3 linked regions of the Callithrix jacchus genome follow. The protein of the gene in region 2 interacts with the protein of the main gene of each other region in a pairwise test. Links are inferred from orthologs where the notes say so. Each region holds a gene or a part of one and is shown on either strand. Other genes may lie near its edges. The genes, in order: CABP5, CEP76 and THRA.

What was found.
Region 1: the proteins of CEP76 (region 2) and CABP5 interact in binary tests that used the Homo sapiens proteins (3 or more experiments, as listed by UniProt). The link is inferred for Callithrix jacchus from reciprocal best matches to the Homo sapiens genes CEP76 and CABP5.
Region 3: the proteins of CEP76 (region 2) and THRA interact in binary tests that used the Homo sapiens proteins (3 or more experiments, as listed by UniProt). The two-hybrid records come from large-scale screens. The link is inferred for Callithrix jacchus from reciprocal best matches to the Homo sapiens genes CEP76 and THRA.

Annotation. Positions count from the first base shown.
Region 1 is NC_133523.1:41,886,147-41,890,516, reverse strand, and holds the start of CABP5 (calcium-binding protein 5), read left to right. Parts: upstream 1-1,446; 5' UTR 1,447-1,592; coding exon 1,593-1,655; intron 1,656-3,356; exon of another isoform or gene 3,357-3,402; coding exon of another isoform or gene 3,403-3,465; intron 3,466-4,116; coding exon 4,117-4,147; intron 4,148-4,370. UniProt on the Homo sapiens protein: Inhibits calcium-dependent inactivation of L-type calcium channel and shifts voltage dependence of activation to more depolarized membrane potentials. Involved in the transmission of light signals.
Region 2 is NC_133514.1:49,812,067-49,815,712, forward strand, and holds part of CEP76 (centrosomal protein of 76 kDa), read left to right. Parts: intron 1-2,753; exon of another isoform or gene 2,754-2,867; intron 2,868-3,066; coding exon 3,067-3,255; intron 3,256-3,646. UniProt on the Homo sapiens protein: Centrosomal protein involved in regulation of centriole duplication. Required to limit centriole duplication to once per cell cycle by preventing centriole reduplication.
Region 3 is NC_133506.1:71,671,113-71,675,187, forward strand, and holds the start of THRA (thyroid hormone receptor alpha), read left to right. Parts: upstream 1-1,218; 5' UTR 1,219-1,350; intron 1,351-4,075.

The sequences.
Region 1 (4,370 bases), on a different chromosome or scaffold from region 2:
CCAGTTGCGCTCGAAGTAGTCGACGAAGGCGGCCGGGCCGTGGGTGTGCAGCTCGGCCAGCGCCTCGTCGTAGGCGGCGGGCGACGACGCGCCGGCCAGGCGGCACAGGCGCGACCACAGGCCCGGGTCCTCGCGGCCAGCGCCGCCCAGCTCCTGCGCCTTGCTGAAGAGCGTCTCCAGGCCCTGAGCGCGGCAGATCTGCACGCGCGCGCAGGGCAGCAGCTGGCGCACGGCAGGCAGCTGTGCCGCCACCTCCGGCCCGGCGGTGAGGCAGCGCACGCGGCCTTTGACGTCTGGCGCACTCTGCAGCAGCGACGCGAGCGCGAAACGCAGCAGGCTCGGCGTGCCCGGGCGCGCCACGCAACAGGCAGCCTGGCGCGCACGGCCCGCGCCGTCCACGCACAGCACGGCCAGCAGATCCAGCGCGCCCTGCAGCCCCGGCAGCCGGTCCACCAGCAGCATGCGCGGGAAGCGCCGCAGCAGCGCCCTGGTGCGCGACGTCAGGAAGAACACCGTCTCCACCACCGCCTGGTCCTCCACGAACACCAGCTTCACCTGCGGGCGGGGACAGGGAGGTAAGGAAAGAGGTCAGAGGATGCTGGGGTCTCCCCGCCCAGCTCCTCGACCTCGGTTTCCCCTCCTAGGGAAATGGGAACTGATTCATTCTTGCCTGCATATGCGTTTATTCTTTTGAGCGGCAGGGGGCAGTGCAGGGAAATGGTAAAAAACAGAGACTCTCGCGGTGGTTCACGCCTGTAATCCCAGCACTTTGGGAGACCGAGGCATGCGGATCACTTTAGGTCAGGAGTTTGAGACAGCCTGGTCAATATGGTGAAACCCCCGTCTCTATTAAAAATACAAAAAAGTAGGTTGCAGTGAGCCAATTTTCTTTTTTTCTTTCTTTCTTTCTTTCTCTTTCTCTTTCTTTCTTTCTTTCTTTCTTTCTTTCTTTCTTTCTTTCTTTTCTTTTCTTTTCTTTCGAGACAGAGTCTCACTTTGTCAGCCAGGCTGGAGTGCAATGATGCAATCATAGCTCACTGCAGCCTCGAACTCCTGGGCTCAAGCAATTCTCCTATCTGAGCCTTTGGAACAGCTGGGAGTACAGGTGTGTGCCACCATGCAAGGCTAATTTTTATTTTAGTTTTTTATATATATAAATACAAGGTCTCTGTATGTTGCTCAGGCTGGTCTCAAACTCCTGGGCTCAAGCAGTCCTCCCACCTCAGCCTCCCAAAGCCCTGGGACTACAGACATGAGCAGCGCATCCAGCCTCTAAACCCCATTTTAAAAATGCACCTTCCAATTCCACTCTGGGGATAAAGGAGTCACAGAGCCTGACTTTGGCTCTCCCTACCCATATCATTCAAGCCAGATGGGGAGGCAGGGACAGCTCTGATCCCTCCCCAACCCGGGTGGAGATTTTCAGCCCAGCTGTCACAGCTCTAAGACACAGGGACCAAGAGAGAAGCCAGGAGAGGCAGGAAGAGGTGGCAAAGGAGTGCTAGAGAAGATAAGGAGGCTGAGCTCCAACAAGGAGCAGGGAGGAGGAGCATCTTGAGACTGGTGCCCTGCGAGCTCCACCCCACCCCTCCATGCAGTTTCCCATGGGCCCCGCCTGCATCTTCTTGAGGAAAGGCATCGCTGATAAACAGAGGGTGAGGTGGGGAGTGAAGGGGAAAGGCTGTGGGCAGGGCAAGCGGACCAGAGGTGTGGGACAAAGAAGGGGACATGATGGTGCTACAGAACCAGGGGAACAGGTGGATAGAGCAGGAACTGAGAAGGTACAAGAATTCCAAGGACCCTCATGGGGTCATGTAAGCCAGTGAGATAAATGGGTGGGGGTAAAATCAGAAGTCAGGAGCAAAGAGAAGGAGAGAAAGGGAAGAAAAACAATCAGGGAAGTGAGATGATGTCATTGTTGAGATTACCATCATTCTTTTCTATGGATGCTTATTGTGATAACGGCAGTGATGACGATGGTGATGATGGTGGTGGTGATGGTGATGATTATAATGGTGATGGTAGTGATGGTGGTGGTGATGGTGATTATAGTGATGATGGTGGTGGTGATGATGGTGATGGTGGTAGTGATGGTGATTATAATGGTGATGGTAGTAATGATGGTGGTAGTGATGGTGTTGATGGTGATGGTGGTGGTGATGGTGATGATGGTGTTGGTGGTAGTGGTGATGGTGATTATAGTGATGATGGTGGTAATGGTGGTGATGATGGTGGTGGTAGTGATGGTGATGGTGGTGGTGGTGATGGTGATTATAATGGTGATGGTAGTAATGATGGTGTTGATGGTGATGATGGTGATGGTGGTGGTGATAGTGATGATGGTCATGGTGATGATCGTGTTGATGAATGTGATGATGGTGATGATGATGGTGGTGGCGATGGTGATTATAGTGATGATGGTGGTGGTGATGGTGGTGGTGATAATGGTGGTGGTGATGGTGGTGGTGATGATGGTGATGGTGATGGTGATGATGATGATGTTAATAACAATAGCTGCCACTTATTAAGTCATTGCTTATTGCCCAGCACTGTGCAAAGGGATTTGCACGTTTGATGTCATTTATGCCTCAGAACAACTCGGGAGGTCAGTGACTTTCATTCCCATTTTATAGGTGAGGAAAGTGAAGCTCCGAGTCATGAAGTCCTTTGCCTTAAGCTGACACAGTTAGTATGTGGCAGGGTTGGCCAAGTACAGGCTCATACCTGAATCCCAGCACCTTGAGAGGCAGAAGCAGGAGGATCACTTAAGTCCAGGAGTTCGAGACCAGCCTGGGATACACAGAGAGATCCCATCTCTACTTAAAATACAAAACAAACAAAAAAAATAGCTGGGCTTGGTGGCATGCATCTGCAGTCTCTGCTAGTCAGGGGGCTGAGGCAAGGGGATCATTCAAGCCCAGGAAGTGGAGGCTGTAGTGAGCCCTGATCATGCCGCTGCACTCCAGCCTGGGCAACAGAGTGAGACTCTGTCTCAAAAAAAAAAAAAAAATAGTAAATGGTAGGGTCAGGTCTGCTTGATTCCTGTGGGCATGCTTAAAAAAATTTTTTTTAATTTAATTAATTTCTAAATTTTTCCATATACACCAACTTGTCCAGATATGTGGATATGTTTTAATTGTTAGGCTTTAAGATCACGAAAAAAAGAAAATGAAAAAAAGAGAAATAAGGGATCGCAGGGAGGGGATGAGATGAAAGACAAGCTGAGGGAAAGGCTCTGGGATAAAGGGAGATGAGGGGGTGAGAGGCCATTAGAATTTCCTTGTTAACATGTCATGTCTATCTAAGCCCAACCCTTCAGGTATGTCCAGGAGTAGGTGGGGCAACTGGAAATTCTCAGAGTGTTTAGGAGTTGGTCGTACTGGCACTGACCCTCCTGCCTGAATGCCATTGAATGCTGGTTCCATGCACAGGGATTGTAACCTTTGGCAGGAAGATTGGAGGCAGGTGAGAAAAGAGTTAATGGGGATTAGTGTGAAGAATTCTGACTTCAGAGTCAGGAGCCCTGAATTCTAATCCCAAAGTTGTGCCTGACTTGCCCCATGACCTCCAGGGAGTAATTTAATGTTTCCCCACCTTGGGAGGGGATCTGCCGCTTGTGAGCTGTGTGACCTTGGGCAGGCTCCTTAACCTCTCTGTTCCTCAGCTGTCTCGTGGGTAAGATGGAAACGAGACGTAGATCCGAATCACAGAGCAGTTCTGAGGTTTAAATGAAACAATCGTGGAAACCGCCTGGCACGGAGTCAGCACTCTGAACGAGTTAGCTGTGGTTATGAACTCTGACTTTCTTCATCTGGAGAAGGAGGGGATTGGACTCTGCAGTGTTAAGATGCAATGTGATGGGTATTTGCCCATGAAAGGGGGAATGAGGGAGATCAGCATTCGTGGATAGGAGCGAGGAATCCAGAGGGGTGGGGAGCCAAGAACTGTGGAGTAGGAGTGAGGAGATGAGAAAAGAAATGGGAGGGATGGAGGAGGAGAAAGAGAGTGGGAAGAGAACCACGAGAGGGTGAGGAGGAGCTTGAGAGAGCAAGGGGACCCGTTTGGGGAATGGGTGACCCTCTCTCTAAATTCCCTCTCACCTGCATTCCTTTCCAGGAAAGACCACTGGGACAAGATGAGATCGAAGGTAACACCGTCTTCCTCAATTGCCCCACGTTGCCATCCACCCACCTGACCTGCCCTCAGTCCCTTTGTGCATTTCTGAATAAATTCCTTTACATGGAATTTTTACAGTCCCTGCCTCTTCCCACTCAGCTGTAATCTTGTGGAACTCTTTCTCGTGGCAGTTTAAGTACCTCCCAAAGTATTTAGAAGGCAGACCCAACCTCAAGTGTCTATGAGACTCAGGA
Region 2 (3,646 bases):
ATGTTAGATTATCAGGTGGCCAGGCATTGGCTCTTTTTGTAAACAGTATGAAGGTTGGAGAAGTGAAGAGTCTTCCAAGGCCAAACAGCAACTCAGTCACGGCAAAGTCTATATTAAATTGCAGTTTCAACTGGTGCCTTTTTGGTTTGTGTCACTTTTTTCCATATACATACAGTAAATAAAATGCTGATTTTAGATTCCCCAGAACTGTTTCTTGCTGCTGCTTCCTATATTTGACTAGTTATGAAGTTAAAGAACGATAGTTTAAAGCAGTCAATGTAATTATAAAAGCCATAGTTATAAACCAAAACATTAATATACATGGTTTGAAAAAATTTCCAATGTATCCAGGCCCAAAAGGAAATAAGTTAATGAATGGCAACACTAAAAGTAAAGAACTTTTTGCAACGATGAAAATGTTCTGTGTCTATGCTAACCAGTATTGTAGCCACAAGCCATGTACTGAGCATTCAAAATGTGGCTATTATGACTAAAAAAAATTGAATTTTAAACTTTATTTAATTTTTTTTTTTTTTTTTTTTAAGATGGAGTTTTGCTCTTGTTACCCAGGCTGGAGTGCAATGGCGCGATCTTGGCTCACCACAACCTCTGCCTCCTGGGTTCAGGCAGTTCTCCTGCCTCAGCCTCCTGAGTAGCTGGGATTACAGGCACGCGCCACCATGCCCAGCTAATTTTTTGTATTTTTAGTAGAGACGGGGTTTCACCATGTTGACCAGGATGGTCTTGATCTGTTGACCTTGTGATCCACCCGCCTCGGCCTCCCAAAGTGCTGGGATTACAGGCTTGAGCCACTGCGCCCAGCCATTTTATTTAATTTTAATTAAAATTTAAATAGCTCATAATGGTTAGTGACTTTCTTATCAGACAGTGCCTGTTCAGAGGTTGAAATATTAAATTTTCAAAACACTTAAATAACTTGTGGGGTTGTATTTAGAATAATATTAGAATATTGCTGTAATGAAACAATGATACATGTTACATTCTAAAATGCTACTATTGATGACTGATTTAGGCAAATGCATAGGGTTTTGATGTGTTCATCTTTTCTTGCCTATTAGTGGATTTGTAAGTATAGGAGTAACAGACCCACACAGGAACTGGTTTATTACCTCAATCCTAACCAAAGATCTAGATTCACTGTGGCCATAATACTTAATAATTCATTATTATTTTTATCCTTTGTTAGCTGGTTTTGCTATAGTTTAATAGTAATTCACTGAATGACACCTTTTGAATTTTTTAGTGCAAGAAACTTTAAGTTACAGAAATTGAACTTTAAGGCTCCTAGGTTTTAAGAAAATGTTGTAAATCACTTGAGGATTGAGGATATCCTTTTAATATTTGGTTTGTGATTTCAGGACAATATTCTCATATAACACTAGATTATTAATAATGCTAAATTAATGTAAAAGAAAAACATAGTTCTCTACATCCCCCTCAAATTCAAATAATAATCCTCTGTTTTAAAAAATTGGTGCTTCTAGGCCAGGCATGGTGGCTCACACCTGTAATCCCAGCATTTTGGGAGGTTGAGGTAGGTGGATCACTTGAGGTCAGGAGTTTGAGACCAGCCTGGTCAACAGAGTGAAACCCCGTCGCTACAAAAATTAGCCAGGTGTGGTGGCTCACACCTGTAATCCCAGCTACTCAGGAGGCTGAGGCACAAGAATTGCTTGAACCTGAGGGGCAGAGGTTGCAGTGAGCTGAGATCATGCCACTGTACTCCAGCCTAGACAACAGTGAGACTGTCTCAAAAAAAAAAAAAATTGCTGCTTTCTAGAGTTGAGCACTATAGGTATGAGTGGAATCTAGAGCCAATTTGCTCTGCAACATAAAAATTCATGATCTTGCTGGGTGTGGTGGCTCACGCCTGTAATCCCAGCATTTTGGGAGGCCGAGGTGGGCGGATCACCTGTCGGGAGTTCAAGACCATCCTGACCAACATGGAGAAACCCCTGCCTCTACTGAAAATACAAAATAAGCTGAGCATCATAGTGCATGACTGTAATCCCAGCTACTCGGGAGGCTGAGGCAGGAGAATCTCTTGAACCTGGGAGGCAGAGGTTGTGATAAGCTGAGATCAAGTCATTGCACTCCAGCATGGGCAACAAGAGCAAAACTTAATTTGGAAAAAAAAAAAATCATGATCTTTCTCACTATGATCAAATGTAAATAAGTGAGATTTTTTTTTCCTTGCTAAAGTATGGGATTATATTGGAAAAAGATGTTTTGGTTGTGGAGAAAGACATTAGTGGTTCTGATAATTCAAACAGATGATGTTTCTGTTGGCTGAGTTAGATCTTATGTCCTAAGGAGCCCTATCAGAGTAGAGGGTGGGTCATCTCCAAATCTTGAAGATGGGGCCTTTCACATTGAAGTGGGCCTTTCACATTGCCTTATCAGTAATCATGAAGGTAAACAGATTGTGGGCTTTGGTAATACTAACTGTAAACAGTCATCAGAGACCTTTATATGCACACCAGTTATTCATCACCAACACTAAGATACATCCTGTATTTAGAATAAACTTTCTAGAGCGTTTTTTGAAATTTTGCTTTTAGTTGACCTGGTTAACAAATTATTGCTTCCTGTGGATCTCTAAATTTGAGGCCCTAATGGAAACAAACTAGACTCAAGCTATGATCATTTCTGTTACAGCAGCCAATTGTTAGATTCTATATGGGAATATGAAAGATACTTCAGTTTAGAGCACCTCTCCCTCCCCTACATACCTGCCCACCCATTTCTCAGAGGACTTCTTATTGCCACAGCCTTTGGAGTCAGACAGCTCAGGGCTTAAATGTGGCTCTGCTGCATAATAGCTGTAGCTCCTCAGTTTTCTTTATCTGTCAAATGAAAATAATAGAGATGTTATGATGATTAAAGGGAAATTATATACACAGCACTTTGCAACCTAATACTGGATACAAGGTAAGCACTCAATGGTATGCTGAATTATTTTATCCTACATTAATGTATTTGAAAAAAAAATATTATTGGGGATTATTAATATGTCATTATCGATATTTTTTCCCTTTTCCCTAGGATGAAAATGGGATAAATAGACCAGTCTGTTCCTATGTTAAACCACTTAGAGCTGGACGGCTTCTTGATACTCCAAGGCAAGCAGCAAGATTTGTTAATGTCCTTGGTTATGAACGAGCCCCTGTTATTGGAGGAGGAGGTAAACAGGAGCAGTGGTGCACTCTGCTGGCCTTTCTCTGTAGAAACAAGGTATTATACACACATAATAGAATTAAATAGCAGTATATCATAGTTACTCTAAATTTATAATACATTTGTAAAGGAATGCCTTAGGAAAATGTACATATAGTGAGCCCGCTCTACCTGCGGGTTCTGTATCTGTGGATTCAACCAACTGAAGATCAAAAATATTTATAAAAATAATAGTAAAAAATAACATAATAAAAAATATACAAATAAAGAACAAGTATAAAACTATTTATATAGCATTTACATTGTATTGAGTGTTTTTTCTTTTTTTTTTGAGATGGAGTCTTACTTTGTCATCCAGGCTAGAGTATAGTGGTGTGATCTCGTCTCACTGCAACCTCTGCCACCAGGGTTCAAGAAATTCTCTGCTTCAGCCTTCCAAGTAGCTGGG
Region 3 (4,075 bases), on a different chromosome or scaffold from region 2:
AGACTGTGTAGCAGGGCCCCACCCTGAGAGCCGTGGGAAGGCTGTGGCCCCCACTGGTAAAACTGGGCTAATGACAGCAGGGGAACCGGCGGGGCCAGGGGCGTGCTGGGGTAATTAGGGCTTGGCCTGGAACTGGGAGATCCCGAGATGAAAGGGGCTCTGGCGTCACTGGGTTGGTTTTATGTCCATGAATTGCAGATGCGTGTGTGTGTGTGTGTTGTGTGTGTGTGTGTTGCGTGTGTGTGTATGTGTGCTGGGGGTGGGGCTGGCACAGTGGAAACCTCTCCTTTGGGTTGGATTAGGGGGTCCATTTGTATGCAGCCCACCGGCTTCCTTAGATTGACTCTGGTACCATTTGGATTTTGGTGGGAGCAAACACGGGGGGAAATACCACCACCCAGGAGCTAGGAATTGAGGGGGTATGGCAAATCTTGTCCCCTCCCCGAGGTGAGGAGAGGGAGCAGATTGTTGGGGAAATGGCTGGTGACAGAGAATAGAAAGAGCCTATATGGAGAAGGGTGATGTTGGAAAGGGGAGGCAGTGGATCGGTATCGATGTTAGAAATGAGAGGGGAGGGAGGTACTGAGCCCACACAAGGATTAAAAACACAGGATGATTGAAGTTAAAAGGACGTCAGGGGTGATCTGCCCAGCCTTCGCGGCTGAAGCTTGAGGAAGCTCTGCCCCGACAGCAGTGGTGGTTTGTCAAGGTCACACAGTGAGTTACTGGCGGAGAAGGGACCCGAACTCCTAAACAAACTCTACACCTGCAAGCGTTTGGTGTTTAGGCTTTCTCCTCATGTGTAAGGTGCAGGCGGCTCCTCGGTACTTTCTTCCCCACCCCATGGTGCAAACCCGAAAACCCCCAATTCTCCCGGCAAGCAAAGGCTATTTTTTAATGACATCTCTTCCAAAATATGTCACCAAGTACCCACTCCTGCGGGAGCCGCCCGGCGGGGGAGGGTGAGTCCGAGCGGGGCGGGGCAGGGGCGGCCGAGGGGCTGCCGGGCCGCTGGCGGGGGTCCCGGGGCGCGGCAGGGGGCGGGGGGCGGGGGCGGGCGGTGGCGAGGCGGCCTGCAGGGAGCAGCCGCGAGCCGGCCGGGCGCGCGGAGCCCGAGCCCCAGCCGGAGCGGGGCGGGGGAGGGAGGAGCCAGAGCGGCCGCCGCCTCTGCCGGAGGAGCCGCGGGGCCGCCACACTCGCCCCCCGCCCCCCCCCCGCGTTCACTCGCACTCACACCCGGGCGCAGGAGGCGGGCGGCCCGGGCCCCACCGGCCCCCCATGGACGCCCACGGCACTGGGCGCTGAGACCCCCGCGTCGCTGCCCAGCCCGGTCCAGCGCGCCACGCCGAGGTAAGGAGGAGGGAGCGAGGGGGCATTAATATGCAAATGCCTCGCGATTGATTATGCAAAGCCGCGGGGCTCCGTGGCCAGCTCCCAGGCGGGCCAGGGTCGCCCAGGGCGTACCCGCTGTCAGCCTCAGCCTTTCCCGGCGCCCCAGTGACCCTGTCACGAGCCCAGGAGCTTGCAGCTGACGCCCTGGGGAAGGGAGGTGTTGCTTGGAGGTCGGTGGGCCCGGGGGTTTGCAGGCGGAGATGGCGTCCGGGCCTCCCCCTCGACGTCCCGCCCGGCCTCTGTCCGGCCAGCCTGCTGCGCATTCCCGGGCCAAGCCCCGTTGCCGGCCGCCGGAGCTCCCCCGCCCGCCGCTCCGCGGTTTGTTTACGGTGCGTCGGAGGCCTGCCCCCCCCAGCCCCCACCCCTAGCCTTTGAGGCCGAGTAGCCTTTGCAAAGCTGCCTCCAGCTGCGGAGGGCAGTATGAGTGCGGTGGCGGGGGTGGGCTTGCATGGGTCCAGGGAGAGGGAAGTTACCCCCCTTCACCCGCCTTCCAGTGGAGCATGGCTGTCTGGTTGCAACACTCTAATTGCAAAAACGCTGCTGCTGGGGGGAATGTGTGTGTGGAGGGGGTGCACTTGATGGTGCCTAGATGATTAGGAGAGTTGCTGGCTGGGGAGGAGAGGGAGAAATGGACCTGTGTGTGTGTACCCCACCTTTTTCCCTCCCCTTGCAACGTGTCTCTGGTTCCCCTTCTCCATCTGGGGCCCTCCCTTGCCCAGCGTGAAAGAAAGGCCTGGGGGGATGACAGGGGCAATTGAAAGAGCCACCGGTCCAGAGGTGGGGGTGGGGGACACAGAAGGAAAGCCAGTGAGATGGGAGCCTGCCCCTCAGTGCTGGCTTCATCTCCAAGAGGGGGAGGGGATGAAGGGGGCTGTTGTCCAAGATGGGGGGAAAGCAAAAGTGACACGCAGACACAGAGATATGTCCACACAGACAGCCACAGGCATACCCAGGGACACCCAGGCGGACTCAAGGACAGGAGCTGCTGGACACACCCACATGGGGACAAGGGAAGAGGCAGGCTGCTGCTGCACCCTGGAGCTCAGGGGGTGGGACATACCCACGGGAGACCAAAAGCATGGAGACCGACCCATGGCACATACCTACGCACAGGGTCACACGGAGAGGCTGTCACACACGGGCAAGGAGGAGTTGCTGTCACCCACACAGAAAAAGTCACTGTCACATGCATGCATGCACACAGAGCAATTGCACACAGCCGCACAATTACAAAAGACCCTGTCACTCACAGGCACACACGTGCTCACATAAGCCCAGTCACACAGTCATCATTGCTTGCCGTGACAGTAGCTGTCACTCAGTCAGATGCAAACACAGTTATACATCAACACATGTATACACAACTTAGCAACAAGTATTTTCCTGGACTCTTACTGTGGAGCTCTGAGGTTCTGTAGACAAGAAAACCCTTGCTCCCAAGAAAATTAAATTTGGCTGTATGAAAAGGTGTTGCTGCGTAATGGTGCAAAGCATGCATTCCCGATGACATGTTTTTGGTCTCTGTTGCTTGACATACCAACCCTACTAGACAGTGAGCTCTTGGAGACCTGGGAGAATCATTTGAAGAGCTCCGGATCGCACCCAGAGCCTAGCACAATGGCTGCTTTGTAACTACTTGTTAGTTGATTGACTGTGGAACCTGCGGACACAGGTGCACTCATTTGCACATGGGCCCCTGAACTCAGGTACAGAATGAGTTCACAGGGCCCAGGTCCACACAAACAGTCGTGTCCACATAATTCCAGATGCACACAACTGTAGCCTGTGCAGCCAAGCACACACCTAGATGCACACAATCACAGACTTTTCCCTTTCAGCTTCTTCCTGCCTTCTTCCTCTAGGCCCAGCCACTCTGTGGGAATGGGCTTTTTTTTTACTTTTATTTTCTTTTGGAGGGTCAGAGAAACAAGAGCAAAGACGGAGGGTGCAGGGGGGTTCCAGAAGGCCGAGTATGGGGCTCAGAGCATGTCCAGGGACTTCTAGAAGCTGGGATTCTCTTGACTTCTGGGTGAGGGGAGAGCTGCACTCATCCCGAAAAGCTCAGGGATATCAAACTGCCCATGCTCTGAGTCATTTGCCCGGGCCTTTCCTGGGAACACTCAGTCACCCCCAGCTGAGTTCCTGCATCCCACCTTGAGTCTGGCCGCCCCTCTTGTCACCTGGACCCTGCTACCCAAACTTGGAAGCTTTCCTTAAGAGGCCATCGGCTGGCGACTGTCTGCATGAGTGATGTGTATTTTTGACTTGGAATTTCTCTCTAACTCTCTCTTTCTGTTGCTCTGTCTTGCAGTGTCTGATTCTCTCTCTCTCTCTCTCTTTCTCTCTCCCCTTCTCTGCCAGTCTGTAACTCTCTCTCATCCTGTCGCTACCCCTGTCTACCCCTGTCCTTGTCTCAGAGCTGGGGACTGGCAGTGATGTTCTTCATACTTTTCCCGTTGTTAATACCCAATCTCCGCCCCTCTGCCCCCCCACCCCCCCACCCGCTACACCAGGCAGCCTCTGGGGTCAGCTTAAGGTTGGTGTGGGGGGCCAGGGGGGTGGGCTCAGCTGGCTGCTCAGGACTTCCTGCACTTCCTTACTGCTGCAGCTGTGGCCAGCAAGTTTTAGGGACTGGGAATGGGGAAAGGGAGGGGGGACAGCCACTGCCCATGCTGCCCCTCGG